4 linked regions of the Macaca fascicularis genome follow. The main gene of each other region encodes a partner of the protein of the gene in region 4 in a complex. Links are inferred from orthologs where the notes say so. Each region holds a gene or a part of one and is shown on either strand. Other genes may lie near its edges.

Region 1 (5,453 bases), on a different chromosome or scaffold from region 4:
AAAAAAAATTAGCCAGGTGTGGTGGTAGGTGCCTGTAGTATCAGCTACTCAGGAGGCTGAGGCAGAAGACTCTCTTGAACCTGGGAGACGAATATTGCAGTGAGTGAGATGTTACCCACTACACTCCAGCCTGGGTAACAGAGCAAGACTCCGTCTTCAAAAAAAACCAAAAACCAAAAAACAAAACAAAACAAAAAACATTGACAAGCTGAAAACACTGCCTGACTATATTAATAACACACATAAAAAAAAAGCTCTACTGAGAAAAATAGAAGTAGAATGTCTAAAATGAAACAATAACTCTAACTAGACCGATTTTAATACACTCAATCTAAGGTGTCATTAAAAGATAGATAGATGAATGCAGGGGCAGGGAGGGAAACTGGAGCATACCTGGTATAATCAGGCAAGTGAAGGAACTAGGAACAAACATCAATGAAAGACCTGGTAAGATTTCACTTAGAACTAAAACACATATGCTTGCAGATCACTTGAACACTGAAGTAGGGAATAAGTCAGATTTGCTCTTAGTGCTCTCAAGAGGACTAGGATTAATGAATAAAATTTGAAGACAGCAGACTCTGACAAAATTTATAGGGGTAACTTTCTAGTAAGACCTGTCCAAAAACAGAATGGGTTATCTCAGAAGACTGCAAGATCTCAAGTACACAGGTGTTCAAGAACAACCAGAGAAGATTCAAGTATGGTTTAAGATTTCAGCATAGCTGAGTGCTTATACCGGATGAATAACTTTTCAGTTCTCTTTCAGTTCTCTTAGTGATAGAGTGTACATGATCAAAATTTTAATGTAAGGAAGATATTAAGGAATCTAGTCAGAATTTAAGGCACAAATTTTGCTCATCAACTTTCTCTAGCACGTTTTGCAAAGGCATAGGGCCAAAAACCACATCAGACATAAAAGGTCTTAAGATATCGAAATGTTTAATAGCCACTCACCTGCCTTGTTACTGTGATTTCATCATGAACCTCAAATCCTAAAGGACTTTGCTTTTTGTCAGAATTATCAAATGTGATTGACACAGAGGCTTTGGTAATACCAGCCTGCCCATTTTTGTAAACTAAATCTTGTAAATTAGAAGCTCGAACCTAAAATAAAAGAAGAAAAGTGTATCAATTACAAAACTCCCTACAAAGCAGCACTAAAAATGAATTCCTTGCTGTTGGAAAACCCACCAACATAGTGTCCACTAAGCAGACAAGGATAGGCAGCTGCATACTCTGGCAAGGAAAATAGGTAACAACCTGAAATGGACACTCTTCTCTATAGAACCTTTTCAACTCTGAATTGAATTGTTTCCTATTCATTTTTTAACAAAAAGTTACTTGGCAAGATATAAGGAAAGACAGTCCCAATGATTTTCACTAGTCATTCAATCTATTAGCAGGATTTGAAAAGGCATCATTACACAGGGTTGAAAATACTCTGGAATGAGACTACTTTACAGTCAGAAAGCCTGAGTTTTGAGGCATTGTTACTTATAAACATCTCCAACATAAACATCTCTATGTTTCTATTTTCTCATCTAAAGGAGTAATAATAGTTTCCTTAAAAGGTGACAGTGAGGTGTAATTTACAAAAAGTATAAAAACACAAATGAAGAGAATATTGTTAAGTCTCCAAAGTTCAGGGAGGATTCTCCTGCCCACTTATATTCAAATAAATCAGAAAGTTTACACTTTACCTGAGACAGGTTGGAGATGCCCAGCAAAAAGCAGATGGAGTCCAATATGTTTGATTTTCCACTACCATTTAAGCCAGTGATAGCATTGAAGAGGGGGTCAAAACCATTGACTTCGGTTCTCTGAGCATAGGACTTGAATCCCTCTAGAATAATTGACTTAATATGCATTTTCGATACTGTCTTGGGTCAGCAAACCTCTGACAGGAATCAAACAGGCCACAAACCAGTTCTGTACGAAACAGAAATACCACCACCTAAGTGGAATGTAAACCTGGAATCATAATGAACACTAGGCAAAAACGGTAATGATAGGGTAATAGAAATAAAACAGCCACTTGACAAACTATCTTGTCTGATGTAAAGACATCGTTCATCTACTCAAAAATATAACAGAGTTAGCCACTATCTGGAAATTAAACCATTCAACTGGGAAGTCTTAACTATTTCTTACACCTGTTTTTCCAGGCTTGCCTTCTACTTTCATCATACTCTAGCTAATAAAGACTACGGATTATTTCATACCCCATTATCTTTGCCCACAATGTGCTTTTTTCTGATACTGACATAGCTTACTCTCTACTGCACTCACGTCTTTGCTCAAATGTGTCACCCTACTGGAGTCCTCCCTGACCTCCCTGTGTCACCTCTCCACACTTCTTCACTCGGCTTTTTCCTTCATGGTACTTAAAACTGGTATTAGACGGTCATTACTTGTCTGTAAGTTCCTGTAGTATCTTCACCTACGTTCATCATTGCATCCCCGAATTGTGCTTGACTCCGGGAGGAGGGGAAGTCATCTAAGTATTTACTAGGGATGAGATGTATCTCATATTCTCCACCGTCTTGCTTTTACTCAGGCTGTTACTTCGCTTCTTGAGGCCTGTCTACACCTCTTCGCCCTACTCCAAGGCCGAATAGGAACTAGCCTTTATTTCTAAGGATCACCTAAGGTCCTCCTCCCCATAGCTCCCGCGTCCCGCCTCCCGCCAGGATGTCTGGCCGGGCTCAACCGGCCGTGCTCACGCACACGCCTCACCGCTGCCTCAGGCCAGGGCTTGACGCACCCCAAAAGCTCCTCCGGGTCACAAAGGCGGGGAGCAGGCCAACTCTCTAGCCGCGGCTGCTACGAAGAGAACTTCACCATAGCGGATACAACACCTGCCGCACCGCTCTCAACACCCGCGCCGGAACTATTTATTCCTTTGAATTTCGGCGCGAGCAAAGGACCCCACCTCCATTGCTTATTTCCTGTGCTGGTGCCTAGGAGCTGCCTGTCTTTAGGATTCCATTTTTCCCCTACACGCGAAGGATTAACGCTTCAGGGCAATAGGACGCAGAGTCTCGATAATGGCAGCTCCGGGGACTCCCAGGCGCGGGCCTGGGCACTACAAGAGCAGGTAGTATATGTTCACACCGGCGTCCGGCACGCTATGGTCAGCCCCACACCTCGTCCCCAGGTCCTCGCGCTTCGTCAGCCCCGCCCCTCCTCGGGTCCTCTAGTCAGCGTTCGGCGCCCAGCAGACTCCGCCTTCTCGAGTTCTGGGCGGTGCTCACCGCGGCTTACTACTCTTCACGCAAAGCGACAGAATCAGGAGGTGTAGAGGCATTCTTTGAGTGTTCTTGTCGGTTCTGTTTTGGAAGCCTCTGAATCTTCTTGGGTTGGCTCAGATTGCTGCAAAGTAAAAGCTGTATTTCGGTGGGGTCGGAGAGGCACAGTCCTTCGGAGGACTCTGGCCCGCGTCCTGGCTCGGTCCCGTGCTGCCTTCGGACTTCGCCGAGCGTTTTTATCTGAAATTTTCACGTCGGGAAGGGATCGTAGTCTACTGAGAGCTGTTCTGAGCCCAGAGGAGTTGTGTGGTGCTAAATAGCTGTTCACCTCCCTTACACTGGAAAGCGTTGTAATGATAAGCCTACCTAACCTGTCAGGGATTTTTTCTGGAAACCTTTTAAGACAGTTCATATTTATTGAGTTCTGAGTGTTAGGCTATGTTCCAAGGGGCTTTTTAAAATCCTCGTAGCAACCCTGTGAAATCAGAAATTGCCCTCGTTTTACAAATGAGTTGAATGAGTCCAAGTAAAAGGTTAAGCAGTTTGTCTAGTAAGCTGGGATTTGTTTCCAGTCTAGTTCCAGATTGCATGCTTTTAAATACATACTAGGCTCCATGCATAGAATCTAGTACTATTCACCGATCCTGTTAATTGGTATGTATTGTTCTTTAGAAAGAAAAAAGGTGTCAGCATTACTTACGTTTCCAAGCACGTTGATACTAAAGAGTTAGGAAGGATTTAACTCCGAATGGGTATGGTGTTTTTCTAGGTGAGGTACAAAAACATGGTGTGGACAATGCCATTTTGGGATGGCTTGATCCTTTTGGGCTTCCATAACAAAATACCATAGACTGGGTAGCTTATGAACCACAGAGGTTTATTCTTCACATTTCTGAAGGCTGGAATGTCACAGAACAAGGTGTGTCTAGGAAGGAGTGCTTTCTGTTCAGTGGATAGCACCTTCTGACCCTGTCCTCACATGGTGGAGAGGCAGAGGCCCTCCCTTGGGCCTATCTTATAAGGGCCTTTCCTTTCTTCCCATTCCTCACTTCCCAAGAGGCCACTTGCCAAAACCATCAGTTTGGGGGTTAGGATTTCAAAATGTGAAGTTTGAGGGACATATTTAGACCATAGCATAGGGCGTGTTTTTAAAGTTGCTTTCTTGGCCCTGGAATGGCAATGCAGTCGTCTGAACTGGTCTTAATCTACCAGGAATGGGCCTAAATTTTGAAAATATTTCTCGTTAAGGGAGTAAAATAAGTTTTATGGGTTTTTTGTTTAAGAAAGGATTCATTTATTTACTCTGATATGCTTACCCACTTCTGTGATGTCAACCATGGGTAGTGACCTAACATTAATTTACTTCAGCAGATATCTTTGTCTGCCTTGAATCCTGCATCCCCTAGGCTCCACAGCTATTCAATTGTATTGATTCTGTTAACTCTTACACATTTACTTTCACCTGTGTCTCCTTCCTTTTATCATTTTGTGAGTAAATAATTTTTAATTTGCCAACAAATCCTAATGTGGACGTAGTCAAGTTGTGAAATAAAGTGATTCTTGGTATGGAAATATGTGTGAAGACAGACTGTTAGTCTTTGCACTTTAACAACTAGCTGATGCACTTACGTCAAATGGATGAAAACATACAAATGCACTGTTGTTGGTTAAGGACTTCTGGGTGGTTAGAAGAATGTGCAGATCTAACTACTCCCATTAAGACCATTGATCAAAATGAAAAATGCTTATAAAGGTGGAGATCTCTATCAGTTTTAGTCTTATTGCATGCCAGAACCACTAAGGAATTGCTGCTAAATATAGGACAAATGGACTTGAGGAAATCACTGATGACTAACTTCAAACTCTGCCTCCTGAGATCACCACAGGTGAGTGGAAACAAGGCGCAAAGCCAGTAAAGCCCCCTCATTTGGAGATGTGAGGGGTAGAAACAGAGATAGAGTATAGGGTAGATGCAGTTAAAGAAAACACTGTTCTTGCTTCATGGCCATGGATTAAAATCGTTTGAAAGCTTCAACACTAGCAGGCAGTGTTTCAAGCAGAAATCTGGCAGCTAGTGGAGTCTGAGTCCTTATATTGGAAGGCATCAGTACTAGCAAGGACACACATACAGCCCTAAAGCAAGACCTAGGAGAAAAATTTGGTGCTCTACTCTCCTAGGGAACTAGAAGGAACCGGCTCTGT
Region 2 (5,589 bases), on a different chromosome or scaffold from region 4:
CCTTTGACATATTTCTCACTTGCAGCCAGAGGAATATTTCCAAAAAGCAAACCATATTTTTATCCTTACCTCTATTTTGTCCACTAGTTCTCTCTCCTTCTCTTTTGTTCTCTTCCTCCCTTGCCTACAGCTCACTCCCTGCTTCAAGCACCTACCATTCTCAAGATAAAGTCTGAATTCCTTAAAATAGTAAAGACCCACCTAGCCTAGCCCCCAGTCTCATCTTCTGCCTTCCTGCTGAACTTCAAGTTCAAACACAACAAACTTTCTCTAGTCTTCAGAGTGACCTTCTTGGTTAGATGGGTCCTTTCCCCCAACATCCCTCTTTGATTGGTTAACTTCTGTTTATCTTTTACATCTTAGCTTAGCCCACCAGCAGGTAGATTTGTGTATAAAGGGTTTTGTTTTCTTCTTTCAAATAAACATTGGTCACTAAGGATTCACTGAGATAACTATGTTTCGTTTGGCGACATAATGATTTTAGAACATATTTCTTATTCACAGTCAAAAATCACAACAAAACTAAAACTTGAAACTTACATCCAGTTGAACAAATTGCAAAAACTCTCCAACCAGCTCCTTAGATACGGCTTGTACAAATGTCTCACGTTTTTCCATGACAGATGGAACTGTTCAAATGGCATTTATTTTGCAACCCTAGTGGAAAACACAATCATACTGAAACACTTGCAAATATATATTTTCCTATAAGATTTAATTTGATATTAACATCCAAGAACTGCAAGAAAATTCCTGAACCACGTATGGCAGACAGTTTATAAAAATATTCTAACATAAAACAAGTTATAATATCTGAAAAACAATTTACTTATTTCCTTTACTGGGGATGTTAATAACATGATATTAATGATATTTTATCAACAACTGTTAATAAAACTACCAACTAAGGAGGGAGAAATCCAAATAGCCTTAGGAAGCTCACCACCATCTCTCCCTTTTTAGTACCTTAGCAAGATGCTGGCTCGGCAGATCGAGTTGGTTCAACAAAAGAACAATCTGATCCCAGCTGCAGATTCTGAAGATGCTCCCTTTCTAAAGGCCATTCCTCCATCAAAAAAAAAAATCCCACTGTTAGTGTCATCTTGTTATTCAAAGTGAGATGGAGAACAGTGGCCCCGGGGAGGGGGGCGGGGGTCACCTGGGATCTTGTTAGACTATCCTTTAGAAATGCGTAACCACAGCACTCTCCTCCCACCCCTTCGGGATAATGAGAGCTCAGGGGACTTTGTACACCTTCTATCCTGTCTGTGTTTTTCCAGGAAATTCTATTTCACATTCACAACACCTGGTGCTATTGGTGCCCTACTAAAAAGACATCAACCTAAAGATGAGGTAATAGCAAATGATGGAACATATTTGCAGTAGGAGTCCCCTGACTTTAAAAATAAATGAAAACCACCTGCACCATTATAAATAGAGCAATATGGAAAATTACTGCCAATAATTATGGGGATAGAGAGTTATCTTAAACATATAATACTAGATTTTAATGTCTAAATCGAACAAAGCAGAAAATAACCTCAGTTTAATGACTCCCCAAATAAGTTAACAGTGAAGTCTGGTCATCTCATTCCTCAACTCAAATGGCTGAACTATGAACCACAGTCATGGACCACATAACATTTCAGTCAACAACAGACCACATATATGACTGTGGTCCCATAAGATTATAATGCCATATTTTTACTGTGCCTTTTCTATACTTAGATATGTTTAGCGATGCAAATACTTACCATTGTTACAGTTGCCTACAGTACAGTAACATTCTAGCAGCAGTAGGCTACACCCTCTAGGTGTAGGCAAGTTCACTCTGTGATGTTCATTCAATGATGAACTTGCCTAACCACAACGTTTCTCCCTCTTTAAATGAAGCATGACTCGCATACATTTTACTGACAAAGAAAATGGGGGAGGGAAGGGAGAGTGGCCAGCAACAAGCATAACGAATAGTGGCTAGGACAAATTCATGATTTTAGAAAAATAATCCAATAAGGTGCAGCAAACACATGGAATCATACATCTTCACCTGGCAAGTCTGTGAACTCTCCACTTTTTCATAGTTCTGGTCACTTTTCTTGTTTGCTCTATTTCCAGGTGTACCTCTTTGGCATTGTAGTCCAACCTACAGTAATATACTTCCTCCAGACTACCAAACTTATTCCTGTATTTCCCATTTTCCCTCTTATATTAGTGACTGTAATTTTTTAATGGTTAATTTTTCAATCTATCTCCCAAAGTGGCAATATTCCATGTTTCTTGTAGTATATGTGCATAAGATCTCAGCCCTGCAGCCAGAATGCTACTTTCAAGGTAAGGAGTCATCTCACCACCCAGTTATCAGTCCAAAGAGCAGGCTACTCTTCGCACAGAAGGTCCGGTACTGAATCAAGATGAGCATTAAAAAGAAGAAATCCCTGTAACCTTGTCACTACCCGTGACTTTCCACTCTGTCCCCAAACTCCTTCCTCATTGACACAACAAGAGGCACCAAACCAGCAACAAGAGTTCAGGAGACTGATGTCTCTGAGGACAATGCCCATGTCCATGGCTGGGGAGATACTCTCTGAGGGAAGTGCCTACATCCAGGGCTCAGGGAGACTCTCTCTAAGGGGACACTGTCTGAGGGCAGTGCCCATGCCCAGGACTGAGGGGGTCGCTGAGGGCACTGCCCATGCCCAGGACTGAGGGGGTGGCTCTCTGAGGGCAGTGCCCAGGCCCAGGACTGAGGGGATTTACTCTCTGAGGGCAGTGCCCAGGCCCAGGACTGAGGGGACACTGAGGGCAGTGTCCATGCCCAGGACGGAGGGGGTGGCTCTCTGAGGGCAGTGCCCAGGCCCAGGACTGAGGGGATTTACTCTCTGAGGGCAGCGCCCAGGCCCAGGAATGAAGGGACACTCTGAGGGCAGTGTCCACGCCCAGGACGGAGAGGCTCACTCTCTGAGGGCAGTGCCTAGGCCCAGGACTGAGGGGACACTCTCTTGAGGGCAGTGCCAATGCTCAGGGCTGGGGGGTCGCTCTCTGAGGGCAGTGCCCATGCTCAGGGCTGGCGGGTCACTCTCTGAGAGCGTGCCCGCGCCCGGGGCTGAGGGGACTCTCTCTGAGGGCAGTACCGACACCCAGGACTGAGGGGGACTCTCTCTGAGGGTAGTGTCCATGCCCAGGACGGAGGGGACACTCTCTGAGGGCAGTACCCATGCTCAGGGCTGGGGGGTCGCTCTCTGAGGACAGTGCCCGCACCCGGGGCTGAGGGGACCCTCTCTGAGGGCAGTGCCCATGCCCAGGACGGAGGGGACACTCTCTGAGGGCACTGCCCATGCCCAGGACGGAGGGGACACTCTCTGAGGGCAGTGCCCATGCTCAGGGCTGGGGGTTCGTTCTCTGAGGGCGTGCCCGCGCCTGAGGCTGAGGGGACTCTCTCTGAGGGCAGTGCCCGCGCCCGGGGCTGGGATTTTCCTCCGACACGGACAGGAAGGACGGGCGTCGCTGAGCTGGGAAGGGGGGATGGCCCGGGGTCGCCTCTTCCGTCCGGTCCCGTCAGACGCAGCACTGCCCGCGCGCTGGTCGGCAGCCCACTTAGGGAAGTGGAGGCCGGGACCCCGACCAGCCGAGGAGGGGCTTCCGCCCGATCCCTGCTACCTCCCAGCCTCTGCTCTGAACCCAATCCCGGCTCCGCACCGCAGCTCTCACCTGGGCTCGGGGACCCGCCGTTTCCCGCGCTCGGACCAGATTCAAACGCACCCGCCGGCGCCCCAGACGGGCCCCGCCCTCCCGGTCGTCACCCAGCGCCGCTCTCGCGAGAGCTGGGGCGCCGCGATCCTCGGGCCCTACCCACACGCCCGCTCCGCCCCGCCTCCAGATCATGCCCCGCCCACATGCCCGCCGGTCTTCCTCCTGTCTATGCCCCGCCTCTTGGGCGCTTAGCCCAGTGCCCTACCGGGCACCACGGAACGCGCACGCGCGGCGCCACAGCTGGGGAACCCATGCACGGTGCGCGCGCCGACGTCCACTGCGAGCTTGTGCGCGTCCTGGGGCCTCCGCGGAGGGAGTGCGCGGTCCAGGAGAGGGCGGGGCGCTGGGAGCGGGCGGTGTTGGGGGAAGGAGGAAGGAGAGGAAGGGAGAGACGGGGAGAGGAAGGAAAGGTTTGGGGCGGGGAGAGGCCACAGGGCCGTGTCTGGATCCCCGGGAGGACCCCACCCCGGCCTGGCCGGCTACCGTGACCGCCCTCCCTGCCAAGGGGTCACCTGTCCGGCCTGCACCCAGTAGGTGCGCCCTGGGCAGGTGCTTCCCCCGCAGAACTCCTACCCCCCCACCCCCGGCAGGTAGGCTGCCCATAGGGTGGAGAGGGAGAGGCCTTAGCGGGGACCCTCGAAGGCACCCGTGTGAAGGAGGAGTAGCAATGTCGTTTAATTCTTTGGACTTAAATGCCAAAGGCACATACTGATCTATCAATCTCTTTTAATTTGTGTCAGCGAATAACTTCATTGGGCGTTCCCAATTTTTGTTGAAAGCAAATTCTTAGAAAATGGTGCTCTTTACCACCGAGCTCTGCATCCCTTCGTGAGGTTTTGGCCTTCCCTGGTGCTATGTTCTTTCATGCTTGAGATGTCTAGAGTGGTATCTGTTTTCCTGGCTGAACTCAAACCAGAGGTCTCGGCGAGATTGAAGTCGTTGCACTGTGGGAGCACAGCACCACCCAGTAGGAACATCATGGGAGCCACAGTGCAATTGTAAATTTCTAGTGACCACATTAGAAAAAAATAAATAGGTGACATTGATTTTTAAATATGTTTTATTTAGGCTAGTGTATCAAAAATATTTATATTACTTGTTGGAATATCGTTTCAACAAGCAATATAAAATTATAGCAGGGAGAAGAGTGGTTTACTGGGAAGCTTGCAACAGTGAAGCAAGGCAGGCTGCAGAGGGGAGGGAGAAGACCCACTCAGAGCATGCCGAGTTTCGGACCCTTGTCAACAGGTGGCCGATATCTAACATCGCCTATTTCATCCTGGAGCTCCAGCCACCTCTGACCTCTTCCCTCCATACACAGACATCTCCTTCCCTGCAGTTTCTTGAATTTTGGTGCCCTCACCTTCTTCTCACTGCTTTCTTCTTAGCAATTTCCTTCATATCCAAGGTGCAAACTGCCACCTTTGAGCAGTGACCTCTGCATCTGGAATTGCAAGACACGGTTATTTCTGAACTCCAGAATTTTCAACAGCTCACTGCCTATTCCCGGTGCTGACATGCATCCAAAACGGAAATCAATTTCCTCTCCCAACCCTGAATCCTGCCCCTTTCCTTATGCTGGTCCCTCCTCCAATCAGCCATTTGTTCCTGGTGGTTCTGCTTCCTGAATAGGAATAACGTAATAAGTTACACATGTGAGCTCTGAAGCTGTACCACCTGGGCTAACCTGGTTCTGTGCTCACTAGCTGGTGACCTTCGACAGGCCATGGACGACTAAGCCTTAGTTTCCTCATCTATTAGATGGGACCTACTTAAGTACTGAGCCTCCTCTAGGGAGTTATTATGAGGCCTAAATGTCTGTGTAGTGCAGAGCTCAGC
Region 3 (4,915 bases), on a different chromosome or scaffold from region 4:
AGCACCCCTAATTTATAAGTCATAGTTACCCAAGAAATGCTATACAGAGCTAATAAAACTCTACTTGTATGGACTTATAGTTATTACAACGGGACCAAGGTCCCCAAAGTAGATATATATAAAAGGAAATGTACAATTATAAAAAACACAATGGTCAATCATAACTAAAACTTTGTGAGGGCATGTATGTGTCTTTAAGGACAAGAAACAAGGTTTAGCCATCTTTATATTACTTATAGCATCTTAGCATAGTGCCTTAAAAGGAATTCATTTGAATGGCCAATTAATGAAATTTTTAATGGATTCAAGTAATAAAAATGCCTACTTGAAAAATTTGCTAAGCCAATATATTAACACTGAGAAATTTTACTCTTAGGAAATTCTAGAAAATTTGGTTCTTTTAAATCTTAAAAATAAACGTTTACTTTTACTAAATTTAGATTACTTTTGCTGTTAATCACTATTACTGGCCAAAGAGTCTACATGTTTTATTCCAAGTAATGATTTAGGTCTTGGATGTTGATACTACGATGCTGTTTCCAATTTCTCAGCCTCCCAAATCAGTTTTTAAGATAGATGTTATTCAGTAAAAGAGAAGGTAATACAAATCACATTTTTACTTACCATCAAATGCTTTATATTGCCAGTTAGGAGTATGAGATTTTCATAAGCGACTCAAAAAAAAAAAAAAATCCATAGAAACCATTGCCATTTTCCCTCAGTTTTAACTGGGCACTCACTATTAGTTCTACTGTAGTCCAGTCCCTGTTTCTTATTCCTAACAGGTGAGTTTCTAAGGTTCTTATCTGTAAATTTAATTGAGTCAAACTGAATCTATTAACTTGGAACATTTACCTTGGTATTATCTGGGAAGAAATGTTTTTAAAACTGTAAAGATCACAATAAAAAGGTTCAGATTATCATGTGGACAAATTGGCTTTAGCATCCCATATACTTCAGAAGCACAAATGTAATATAAACTTGACAATTTATAAATTATTTACTCCCTTGGGACAATATTACATTAGCTTCCTTTATTACTGAATTATGTACAGAGATGCTGTACAGGGAAAAAAAAATATCCTCAGAAGGGTTAAAATGCAGTGTATTTTGATGAATCTTTGCATAAATGTAAAACTCTGATTATCCCAGGACGACGGTAAAAGATGATTAAGCAAAAGATACACGTTAAGTATAATTTCCTGCAAATTGGTATCATCATCAAATTTAGCATTATATAGGGACATAGCTTATTATCCATAATTAACCAAACCAAGTCCCAGAATATGAAAGTCAATAAAACAGTTCAATTTGATTTTAAAAACACACAAAATCCTTTAATGCCACATTCTATAAATTCAAATCTTGTTTAGAAATACATTTGCAATTAATTTCCTCAACATTAATTTTTAAACAAGTTTAGGTTGAAGTATTGCAAATATACTGTGCCTGGTAATAAAAGATACTAAAAAAGGTTATCCTAGAATGATACTGATTTACCTTGTATACTACAAATGTCTAAAAGTAATAATTTTTAAAAACAATTGAAGAATAAAGACTAAAATGGAAACAGAGGCTAATATTTTATAAGTTTGTTACTAGGAACATCCAGTCACCCTAACAAAACTTTTAGCATCAAATCAAAATTCCCTACTTATTTCAGTCATTTCTGCATCACAAAATAGTTTTGCTTTTATTATTATGCTTCGGTGATTCCTGATGGAACACAGGAAAAGAAGATACCCTAGAATCAAACAGGAACTTGACAAAGCCATGGTTTTACCCTTTTTTTTTTTTTTTCAAAAAATTCTGAATTTTGAGGACAGGGAAAAAAAGATAGGGGATTTTTCTTACCAAGCCCTGCTGGTAGAATATACTTTTACTTAAAGAAAACAGGGTTTCTAATAAAAATCAGCTTGGCACAGGTACTTAATTTTTACATCTCTTTAAAAGGACTTGCTCTGTAACAGCTGTGATACTTAAGAATGTAATATCAAAGTTCCTTTCTTTCACTAGTCGTGGTTCCACCAAGTCAGTCATTTTCAACGAAACAAAAACCAATGAGTAAAGGTTCAGTTAACCATCCGAAGTGTTACAAAGATTACATTAACTAGGTGCTCAGGTAAATCGAACACCAATTGTACCGATTTTTTCAGTTTTTGGTTATATATCAGAAAAGAATAAGAACAAGAACAAAGGAAAAGGATAGATTATTAAAAAATAATACATTTCATTTAAAATGTTACCTTAAAGGGAAATACAAACAATGGATAAAATAGTTGCTATATCCCTGTCACACTGAAGCAGCACAGTAATATTGGTGTTTAATACATATTTCACTACGCCAATATTTACGTGCTGCTAGAGTGGAACAAGTATGTCAGTTCATCCAAACATAAAATGAACATCTGATGATGAAAACATAGTTTTGAATGAATTTCCTTAAATTTCTAGAGCAGCAAATAATGATTCGCATCTTGACTGTAGTATGTAAACCATGATGTGCTGCTACAGTACTTTAAGGCCTCAAAAATACAGGATTCATCCAACCTAACTTTATAGAAAAAAAAGTAACAAGAATAAGATAATCTTGGAAGTCTTTAATAAACTTACCTGTAAAATTAAAAATCTATTATGGTCCAAGTCAATTCCATGGCTTCGAAGAAGATTTCCAACATCCTTAAATGTCTTTTTCTTTCCACTTATGTGATAGACAGAAGTATTATCTCTGTAGGCCGTTCTGGATACATAGAAATTACTGTTCGGAATGACTTCATAATCATCCCCTTCCTGTTTTGAGGAAAAACAAAACCAGAAAACAATTGTTGGTATTAAGTCATAGGCCTACTTCAAAATTCACTCATTTCATACTGAAACTAATTCTATGGATTAAAAACTTCAATTGAACACGCACACAAACTGCCAGTAGTTCTCAATAATAACTCGGCTTAGCAAAGAATTGATAGTTTTCCATGCTGCTTGGTCTTTCTCAAAGATCATAAAAACCAAGAAGCCAAACCAACCAGCCAACGAAAAAACTCACCTCCAAACAAGCCTAAAAACATTTATGATTCAGAAGAGGTAGACAAGATTCCTACCATATTCAAAACTCACACAAATTATTAACATGTTGACAGATTTAAAAAGCTGCAGCTTTTAAAAATGATGATTCAAAGAAAAAGGAAGGAAGGTAGTAACGGGGTGATACAGTTTAGTTTTTTTGTGTGGGAGGGTAAAGAGTGTGCCATTAATTTAAAGTAAAAAGCATCACAAAATAACTAAATTCCCTAGGTTTTCTTTTAAACAAACAAGATGTAAAAAAAAAAAAATCAATTGCAAATCTACTTTAACACTCACTTTCCCTTACCCTTAAAAGTTCTGTCATACTGAAGCAATGGCTTCTAAAATTTAGATAAATCAAATGTAATTAATAGGCAATGGAATAAAATCTGATTTACTGGCAATCTATTTTCCAACCCAACTTGTACAATAGAAAGCACAAAAGAAACCAAATTAAAATAGATGATTCTGTGTAATTAAAGCACTTTGTACTTTTTTAAAAAAAAGGAAAACAAAATTCAAAAGCCAAATCACCTCCCAATTTCATTACGTAATTAGTTTTCTATATTTTTAGGTTCCATCGAGTCATTTTTGAACAATTAATTTCCTACATTAATTATTAAACAGAAGCAAAAGTATCAACAGGTAAATAATCTAGACATTTTACCTGTAATTGTCTCTATTTCTAGAAAACAAACATTAGCTTGCCCTTCCCCCATTTCAAAAGGACTTAATCACAGCAGTAGTCAAACTGAAGCAAAGCTCCTTCATATCATAGATACTCAGGGGCCACTAACATTAAAGTTAAAATGCATTGAAATAATAAAGATGGTAAAACCAGCCAATTGCCATATTTTCAAGTTTAGCTAATTTATTCTAAAGCAACCAAAATATAACTTTAAAAATGAACCCAATATTTATAGTAAAATAATGCCTATTTAGTACTCGGGATCCTAAAACTGCTCAATGTTTTTATTCCAAAAAGGATTACTATGAACTATTTGTAATTCATTTCTTTAGCTAAAAATTTAATATTTTAAAAGGCACCACCACCACTCCCCCAAAATAAAACATGGTCAGAGGTAATGAAACCAATACTTTCTGCTATAATTACATACAAATTTCTTAAAGTCAAAAATAATAAAATATGCAATGCATTTAAGTCCATTTGCCTTGCTTGAACTTGTCAATTACTAAACAGTAAAAATCCCTTACCTTATCAATTATCTTTTGAAAATGAACTTCTACGGTACAACTCTGAATGTCCTTGTGTTCATCAGAATTATGTATTAATACTGAGAGTTTTTTAGATCTTATTTTTTGTGCTCGATAGCCAAACACAAAAAGCATAGAATCAATAACATTGGATTTGCCACTGCCATTTGGCCCGATAATACAGGAAAAGCGCTGCATTAAAAAAACAAAAACAAAACAAGTAAAAGTTCATAAGGTCAAGCTAATACTACTGATTTTAACTTAAACCGTTCGGTTTTTTTACTTTACTTGCAGTTAAAAACTGCAAGTATTTAAAAGTTTTTATTGCTAATCACGGACATACAACTTGAGTTTTCTTACATCAAGTTCTCCTCTCTTAAAAGTTTCAACATTTAATAAGAATGCTCTAATTCTAACGCAGACGTTTTAGAAAACTCATTTTATAGTTAAATTATCTAAGGGTTCCAACGAAAGCTTTAAGAAAAAAAATTATCTAAGGGAAAATACTATTTCAAACAAAAACACCGACTCCATTCAATAGAAAACTTTACAGCTAGAGGTACCAAAGATAACCAGATAAACAAAAGATAATTTAAGTGTTAAAATCATATGAAACGTGTGTGCGTGTGCGAGAGAGAGA
Region 4 (4,753 bases):
TGGCAGAGCCTGGACCCCTTTGACTCCCTGGAGTCTAAGCCCTTCAAGAAAGGTAATTGGGTGGAAGATACCTCCACTCAGGTACTCCTGGCTGGGTCTCCTGGGGCATGAGGTAGGGGGGTGGGAGAGGGCTTTGCACCCTGATTGCCCAGCAGCTCTAAGACAGTCCCTGTTTGCCTCTAGGTAGGCCTTACTCTGTGCCCCCCTGTGTGGAGGAGGCTCCGGGACAGAAGCGCAAGAGGAAGAGTGCTGCCAAGCTGCAGGACTTCCACCAGTGGTACCTGGCTGCCTGTGAGTGGGTGTGCTACGCACTCCGGACCCCTGGGAGCTGGGGGCTGGGCCAGGGCCCGTGGAGGAGGATCAACGCCCTTTCCCCACTGCCGTGGGCAGCTCTTGGCCTGGTTGGTGCTGACCATGTTCTCTCACAGATGCTGACCATGCTGACAGCCGGAGGCCTCGGCGAAAGGGTCCGTCCTTTGCAGGTGAGGCTGAAGTCCTCAGGGAAGACAGTTTTACTCCCCTTCCCCTACCTCTGCCCCCACCTGGTGTCACCAGAGCCTCGGGTGGACTGGCACAGGGCCTGGGAAGGACAAGGGAGTCTTCACAAGGTCTTTGTCTGCAGACATGGAGGTCCTGTACTGGACACACGTGAAGGAGCAGTTGGAAACTCTCCGGAAGCTGCAGAGGAGGGAGGCAAGTCCCAACTGGTCAGCTGTGATCTAGGACCCCGTGGCGGCCCTGGTGGGAGATGACAGTGCCCCTCACAGATGCTGTCTCTGGACAGGTGGCCGAGCAGTGGCTGCCGAGGGCCGAGGAAGGGCTGTGGTCTGCAGAGGAGGACCACCTGGAGGATTCTCTGGAAGACCTGGGGGCAGCAGGTGGGTGCCTGCCGGTGGGGGTGGGGTGGGGCTTGGCACCTGCTGCCAGCTGACTGGCTGCCTCTGTGCTGTCTACTCTCCCACCTCCCAGCAGATGACTTTCTAGAACCTGAGGAGTATGTGGAGCCTGAGGGAGCAGACCCCAGGGAAGCTGCTGACCTTGGTAGGTGGGCAGCGGGCTAGGAGTGCTGAGGGGCCACTGGAACTGGGGGCAGGGGAGAGTGTGGCCCCTCAGCTGCCCAGCTCACAGCTGCCCCTTCCCAGACACAGTGCCGGTGTCCCTGAGCTACGAGGAGCTGGTTCGAAGGAACGTGGTAGGCCTGGGTTAGAGAGGGACGGGGAGGGGAGGGGGATAGGTGAGAGGCGCCCAGGCCCTGCTTGGGAGGCAGTACCTTCTGCTGATCCTCTCCTAGGAGCTCTTCATCGCCACCTCCCAGAAGTTTGTCCAGGAGACAGAGCTGAGCCAGCGCATCAGGGACTGGGAGGACACAGTGCAGCCTCTGCTCCAGGAGCAGGTGAGGCGGGGTCGCTGGGAACCAGAGCTGTCTGCTGCAGGCCTGTCCCAGGCCTTGCCTCTCTCCACAGCCAACACGCCCCTCCCCTGTGCAGGAGCAGCATGTACCCTTTGACATCCACACCTATGGGGACCAGGTGGTCTCGCGGTTCCCCCAGCTCAATGAGTGGTGTCCCTTTGCGGAGCTGGTGGCCGGCCAGCCGGCCTTCGAGGTGTGCCGTTCTATGCTGGCCTCCCTGCAGCTGGTGAGTGGCCTGCGATGCGTGGGAGGGGGAGACGGTTCCCAGACCCTGCTGATGCCCCGCCCCTGCAGGCCAATGACTACACAGTGGAGATCACCCAGCAGCCTGGGCTGGAGACGGCCGTGGACACCATGTCCCTGAGACTGCTCACACACCAGCGAGCCCACAAGCGCTTCCAGACCTACACTGCCCCCTCCATGGCCCAGCCCTGAGTGGGGAGCACCAAGGCAGGGGTGGGGGATGTGTACTGAGGAGCCGTGCATCTGCTCCTGGCTGGCCCAGCCTAATAAAGCAGTGTTGCCATCTCATCTTCCCCCAAAAACCCTTTTCCGTACACCTGCCCTGCGCAGAGAAGAGGGCTGCCTGACCTCCATGGGCTGCTGGTACAGATCACACACGCACAGATTAAACGCACCCTGTTTAATGATGGGGCCCAGGCTGCAGTGGCTTAAGACAGGACACTGCGGAAAGTCGCCATGTGCCGCCGCACACTGTCTGAGATCTGCTCAGCTGACTTGCTCCGGCCGTAGTAATCGGTGAAGAGGCCGTCAGGGTTGAGCAGGTAGATGGTAATGGAGTGGTCCACGATGTAGTCCTGGTCCTCATCCTTGGGGCCGGCACTGTAGTACACACGGTAACTGTGAGTAGCCTGGGCAATCTGTTCGGTGGAGCCGGTCAGACCCAGCAGTCTTGGGTGGAAGTCCTGGACATAGCGGGCCATGGCTTCCACATCGTCCCGCTCGGGGTCCACAGTAATGAAGACGGGCTGCACTGGAGGCAAACCAGGCTCTGCTTCCAGCTTCCGCACCACCTGCACCAGCTTCTCCAGCTCGTCTGGGCAGATGTCAGGGCAGTGAGTGAAACCAAAGTACATCAGCACCCACTGGCCCCGGAAGTCAGCCTTGCGGCGACCCTGGCCTTTGTGGTCCAGCAGGTGGAAGTCGCCCTGGCCCACAGCTGCCTGGCGCAGGGCTTCTATTCGCTTTTGCTGCTGCAGCCTCTCTTTCTCAGCCCTCAGGGCCAGCCAGGCCCCACCAAGTCCAGCTCCAAACAGGGCTGTGATCAACAGCCTGGTTCGAAGCCCAGGGCCCTGAGGCTGGCCCTGCCTACCTGTCTCTGCAGGGCCCTGCCTTGACAAAAACCAGGACCTCAGATGCAGGGCCTGGCCTCCCACGGTCCCAAGGAGGACTGGGGGCTTGAGGTGAGAGAGCCTGTGCCAAGCTGTGGGGCTCCGAGTCAGCAGCAGCATGGATCTGATGCTCCTGGAAACAAGCACAGGTGTCAGGAGCCAGAAGGGAAGGCCCAGGACGGTGCCTGGGCTGCCCCTGCGACTGGAGAGACCAGTCAACCCATCCGAAGGACCCAGGCCACGTTCAGGCTTAACAGGCGTTTGTCACTGCTCACCTGAGCTCAGAACACCTCCACCAAACATCCACACCTGTCACTCCTGTCCTCCACCTGGGATCACCAGCCTGCCACACCTTGCCCTGCACCTCAGCAAGGTGACCCTCTTGCTGACTGAAAGCATTCCAAGTGCATGCCTTGCCTGGACTCCTAACCACGTTATCTATTCGCAATAAACCCATTTCTTAAAAGGAGGTGGGTAACTCTGGCTTGCAGTCCCTAGAGTAACCGATTCCTCCAGCACTTTCCTGTCACCTCGGGCCACTTAAGCCAACCGTGGCCTTCCTCCACACTGCAAGCAGCAAACCTGCACGACCTACCCCCGGAGCTCGGACTCTGCCTGCCTGCCGTATTTAACCTTTCCTTCCACCGCCACAAAACCCCACCCTCCTCACATCCAGGCTTCCCAGCAGCTCCTCCCGGCTCACAGCCGACGCTCTGCCTTTGCGTTGGTGATCTTTGCGCCTTTCCCACGGGCCCCCCCCGGAAGGTTTGCTAGGTGGAGGTCTCAGGACTCCTCGTCACTGCCCCCCCTCCTGCTGAGGGCACCCTCCGCCCGGGCGGTTCTGGGCTTGTCCCCTCCCCACCAAGGCCAACGCCCTCGTGGCCAGAAAGGTCCCAGGACCACGTAAAGAACCGCGCGAGCGCGTTAGAACTGTGCTCGGCCGCACCGAGAACACCGGTGCTAGCCGGGAGCCTCCCCCGGGCGCCCCAGCCTCGCTCCTCCCTCCAGCGCGCCCTCGGGGTGCCCCCCGCCAGCCCCGCGCAGTAGCCGGAGCTGGGAAACTACCCTGGAGTCCAGCGAGCGCCCAGGGCTACCTCCTTCCCTCCCGGCCCCGGCGTCCGCACCTCGCGGCGGGGCCGCGCGTCAGTGGACCAGTCCCCCGAGAGGCAGCGCGACCTCCAGCTCCCTGCGCTCCGCCCCGCGGGCTCCTCGCGGGCTCCTCGCGGGCTCAGGTATCGTGGGCGCCACAAGCTCGCAGCCAGGGCGCAGGCGTTCCCCGGAGCTGCCCATGCGCAGACGGGCACGGCCGCTGACGCGCTCTCGGCGCTTGCGCGGAAGGCGGAGCCCACCGCAGGTCACGTGTTCGCCGAGACGGCCCCGCCCCCGCGGCCCCGATCCCTTCGCTCCCGCCCCGGCGAGCCAAGCACCCACAAAGTTTCGCGGCAAAGGAGCTTTATTGCTGCGGCGGCAGAACGAGCTCGGCGAAGGGCGAGGGGGGCGCGAAGGGCGCGCGGTCCGAGAGTACGAGTGCCTCCTGCAGGGCGCGGCGCTGCGGGCCGCTGAGCGCGGGGCCGTCCCGGTGCACGCGGAGCCAGGGTGTCCCTGCGGAGCCAGGGGCTGTCAGAGGCCGCGCGGCCGGGGCGGGGCGGGGGCGCGGGGGCAGCGGGGCGGGGGCGGCGCTCACCACGGCGCAGCCTCTGACCCACGTCGACCAGCAGTTCGGCGCCCACCCCCAGGCGGAGCGGCTCCCCAGCGCGGCTGCGCCCAGCCCCGAGCTCGTGCAGCACCAGCGCCAGCGGCAGCGCCCGGACCAGCTCCACGGTGCCTGCGGGGAGAGGGGCTGGGACGCGCGGACTCGGGAAGGGGCGGGGGCTCAGGAAGGGAAGGGGATGGCGGAGGCGGGATGACCAGGACTTCCCCGACGCTCACCATCCGCGGGCGCCAGCAGCTCCTCCTGCTCCTGGGCGCGAGGCAGCAGCTGCCGGCGCTC

What was found.
Region 1: the proteins of NCAPH2 (region 4) and SMC2 are in contact, whole or in part, in a cryo-EM structure (PDB 9F5W), measured with the Homo sapiens proteins. The link is inferred for Macaca fascicularis from reciprocal best matches to the Homo sapiens genes NCAPH2 and SMC2. Residues at the interface, in NP_689512.2 of Homo sapiens: Glu46, Phe53, Ile54, Glu55, Leu58, Leu59, Gly62, Ser63, Ala64, Cys65, Val66, Lys69, Tyr73; in NP_001036015.1 of Homo sapiens: Leu93, Thr125, Gln128, Asp129, Cys132, Gly135, Leu136, Asn137, Met173, Tyr174, Lys177, Lys178.
Region 2: the proteins of NCAPH2 (region 4) and NCAPG2 are in contact, whole or in part, in a cryo-EM structure (PDB 9F5W), measured with the Homo sapiens proteins. The link is inferred for Macaca fascicularis from reciprocal best matches to the Homo sapiens genes NCAPH2 and NCAPG2. Residues at the interface, in NP_689512.2 of Homo sapiens: Pro316, Trp317, Gln318, Ser319, Leu320, Pro322, Phe323, Asp324, Ser325, Leu326, Glu327, Ser328, Lys329, Pro330, Phe331, Lys332, Lys333, Gly334, Arg335, Pro336, Tyr337, Ser338, Val339, Glu344, Gln360, Asp361, Phe362, Gln364, Trp365, Tyr366; in NP_001268861.1 of Homo sapiens: Lys248, Leu251, Gln252, His292, Ile294, His295, Leu296, Pro297, Arg299, Ser300, Val302, Lys340, Ala341, Arg342, Asn343, Ser344, Glu345, Val346, Pro388, Tyr389, Pro390, Arg393, Gly425, Glu426, Ala428, Phe429, Asp430, Thr431, Ser432, Arg437.
Region 3: the proteins of NCAPH2 (region 4) and SMC4 are in contact, whole or in part, in a cryo-EM structure (PDB 9F5W), measured with the Homo sapiens proteins. The link is inferred for Macaca fascicularis from reciprocal best matches to the Homo sapiens genes NCAPH2 and SMC4. Residues at the interface, in NP_689512.2 of Homo sapiens: Arg494, Ile495, Trp498, Glu499, Thr501, Val502, Leu505, Leu506, Gln509, Glu510, His512, Phe547, Cys550, Arg551, Met553, Leu554, Leu557, Gln558, Ala560, Asn561, Tyr563, Val565, Glu566, Ile567, Gln569, Leu573, Glu574, Ala576, Val577, Asp578; in NP_001002800.1 of Homo sapiens: Ile100, Leu101, Gly102, Pro103, Ile112, Gly113, Pro114, Ser117, Gln1151, Met1152, Leu1155, Phe1227, Lys1228, Ser1231, Ile1232, Phe1235, Tyr1236, Glu1239, Gln1240, Asn1253, Asn1254, Phe1256, Glu1257, Arg1261, Gly1264, Ile1265, Tyr1266, Lys1267, Thr1268, Tyr1269.

The regions. Positions count from the first base shown.
Region 1 is NC_088389.1:54,029,005-54,034,457, forward strand, and holds the start of SMC2 (structural maintenance of chromosomes protein 2), read right to left. Parts: upstream 3,177-5,453; 5' UTR 2,936-3,176; intron 2,908-2,935; exon of another isoform or gene 2,731-2,907; intron 1,933-2,730; 5' UTR 1,872-1,932; coding exon 1,704-1,871; intron 1,108-1,703; coding exon 958-1,107; intron 1-957. UniProt on the Homo sapiens protein: Central component of the condensin complex, a complex required for conversion of interphase chromatin into mitotic-like condense chromosomes.
Region 2 is NC_088377.1:199,965,669-199,971,257, forward strand, and holds the start of NCAPG2 (condensin-2 complex subunit G2), read right to left. Parts: upstream 3,815-5,589; 5' UTR 3,709-3,814; intron 1,067-3,708; exon of another isoform or gene 967-1,066; intron 658-966; 5' UTR 619-657; coding exon 541-618; intron 1-540. UniProt on the Homo sapiens protein: Regulatory subunit of the condensin-2 complex, a complex which establishes mitotic chromosome architecture and is involved in physical rigidity of the chromatid axis.
Region 3 is NC_088376.1:63,362,425-63,367,339, reverse strand, and holds part of SMC4 (structural maintenance of chromosomes protein 4), read right to left. Parts: intron 4,468-4,915; coding exon 4,276-4,467; intron 2,791-4,275; coding exon 2,614-2,790; intron 1-2,613. UniProt on the Homo sapiens protein: Central component of the condensin complex, a complex required for conversion of interphase chromatin into mitotic-like condense chromosomes.
Region 4 is NC_088384.1:1,039,476-1,044,228, reverse strand, and holds the end of NCAPH2 (condensin-2 complex subunit H2), read left to right. Parts: coding exon 1-52; intron 53-183; coding exon 184-291; intron 292-428; coding exon 429-482; intron 483-622; coding exon 623-693; intron 694-784; coding exon 785-878; intron 879-969; coding exon 970-1,041; intron 1,042-1,142; coding exon 1,143-1,192; intron 1,193-1,291; coding exon 1,292-1,393; intron 1,394-1,487; coding exon 1,488-1,637; intron 1,638-1,705; coding exon 1,706-1,846; 3' UTR 1,847-2,082; coding exon of another isoform or gene 2,083-2,883; 3' UTR 2,884-3,229; downstream 3,230-4,753. Other genes in the region: protein SCO2 homolog, mitochondrial, read right to left, coding at 2,083-2,883; TYMP (thymidine phosphorylase), read right to left, coding at 4,217-4,365, 4,448-4,588, 4,693-4,753. UniProt on the Homo sapiens protein: Regulatory subunit of the condensin-2 complex, a complex that seems to provide chromosomes with an additional level of organization and rigidity and in establishing mitotic chromosome architecture.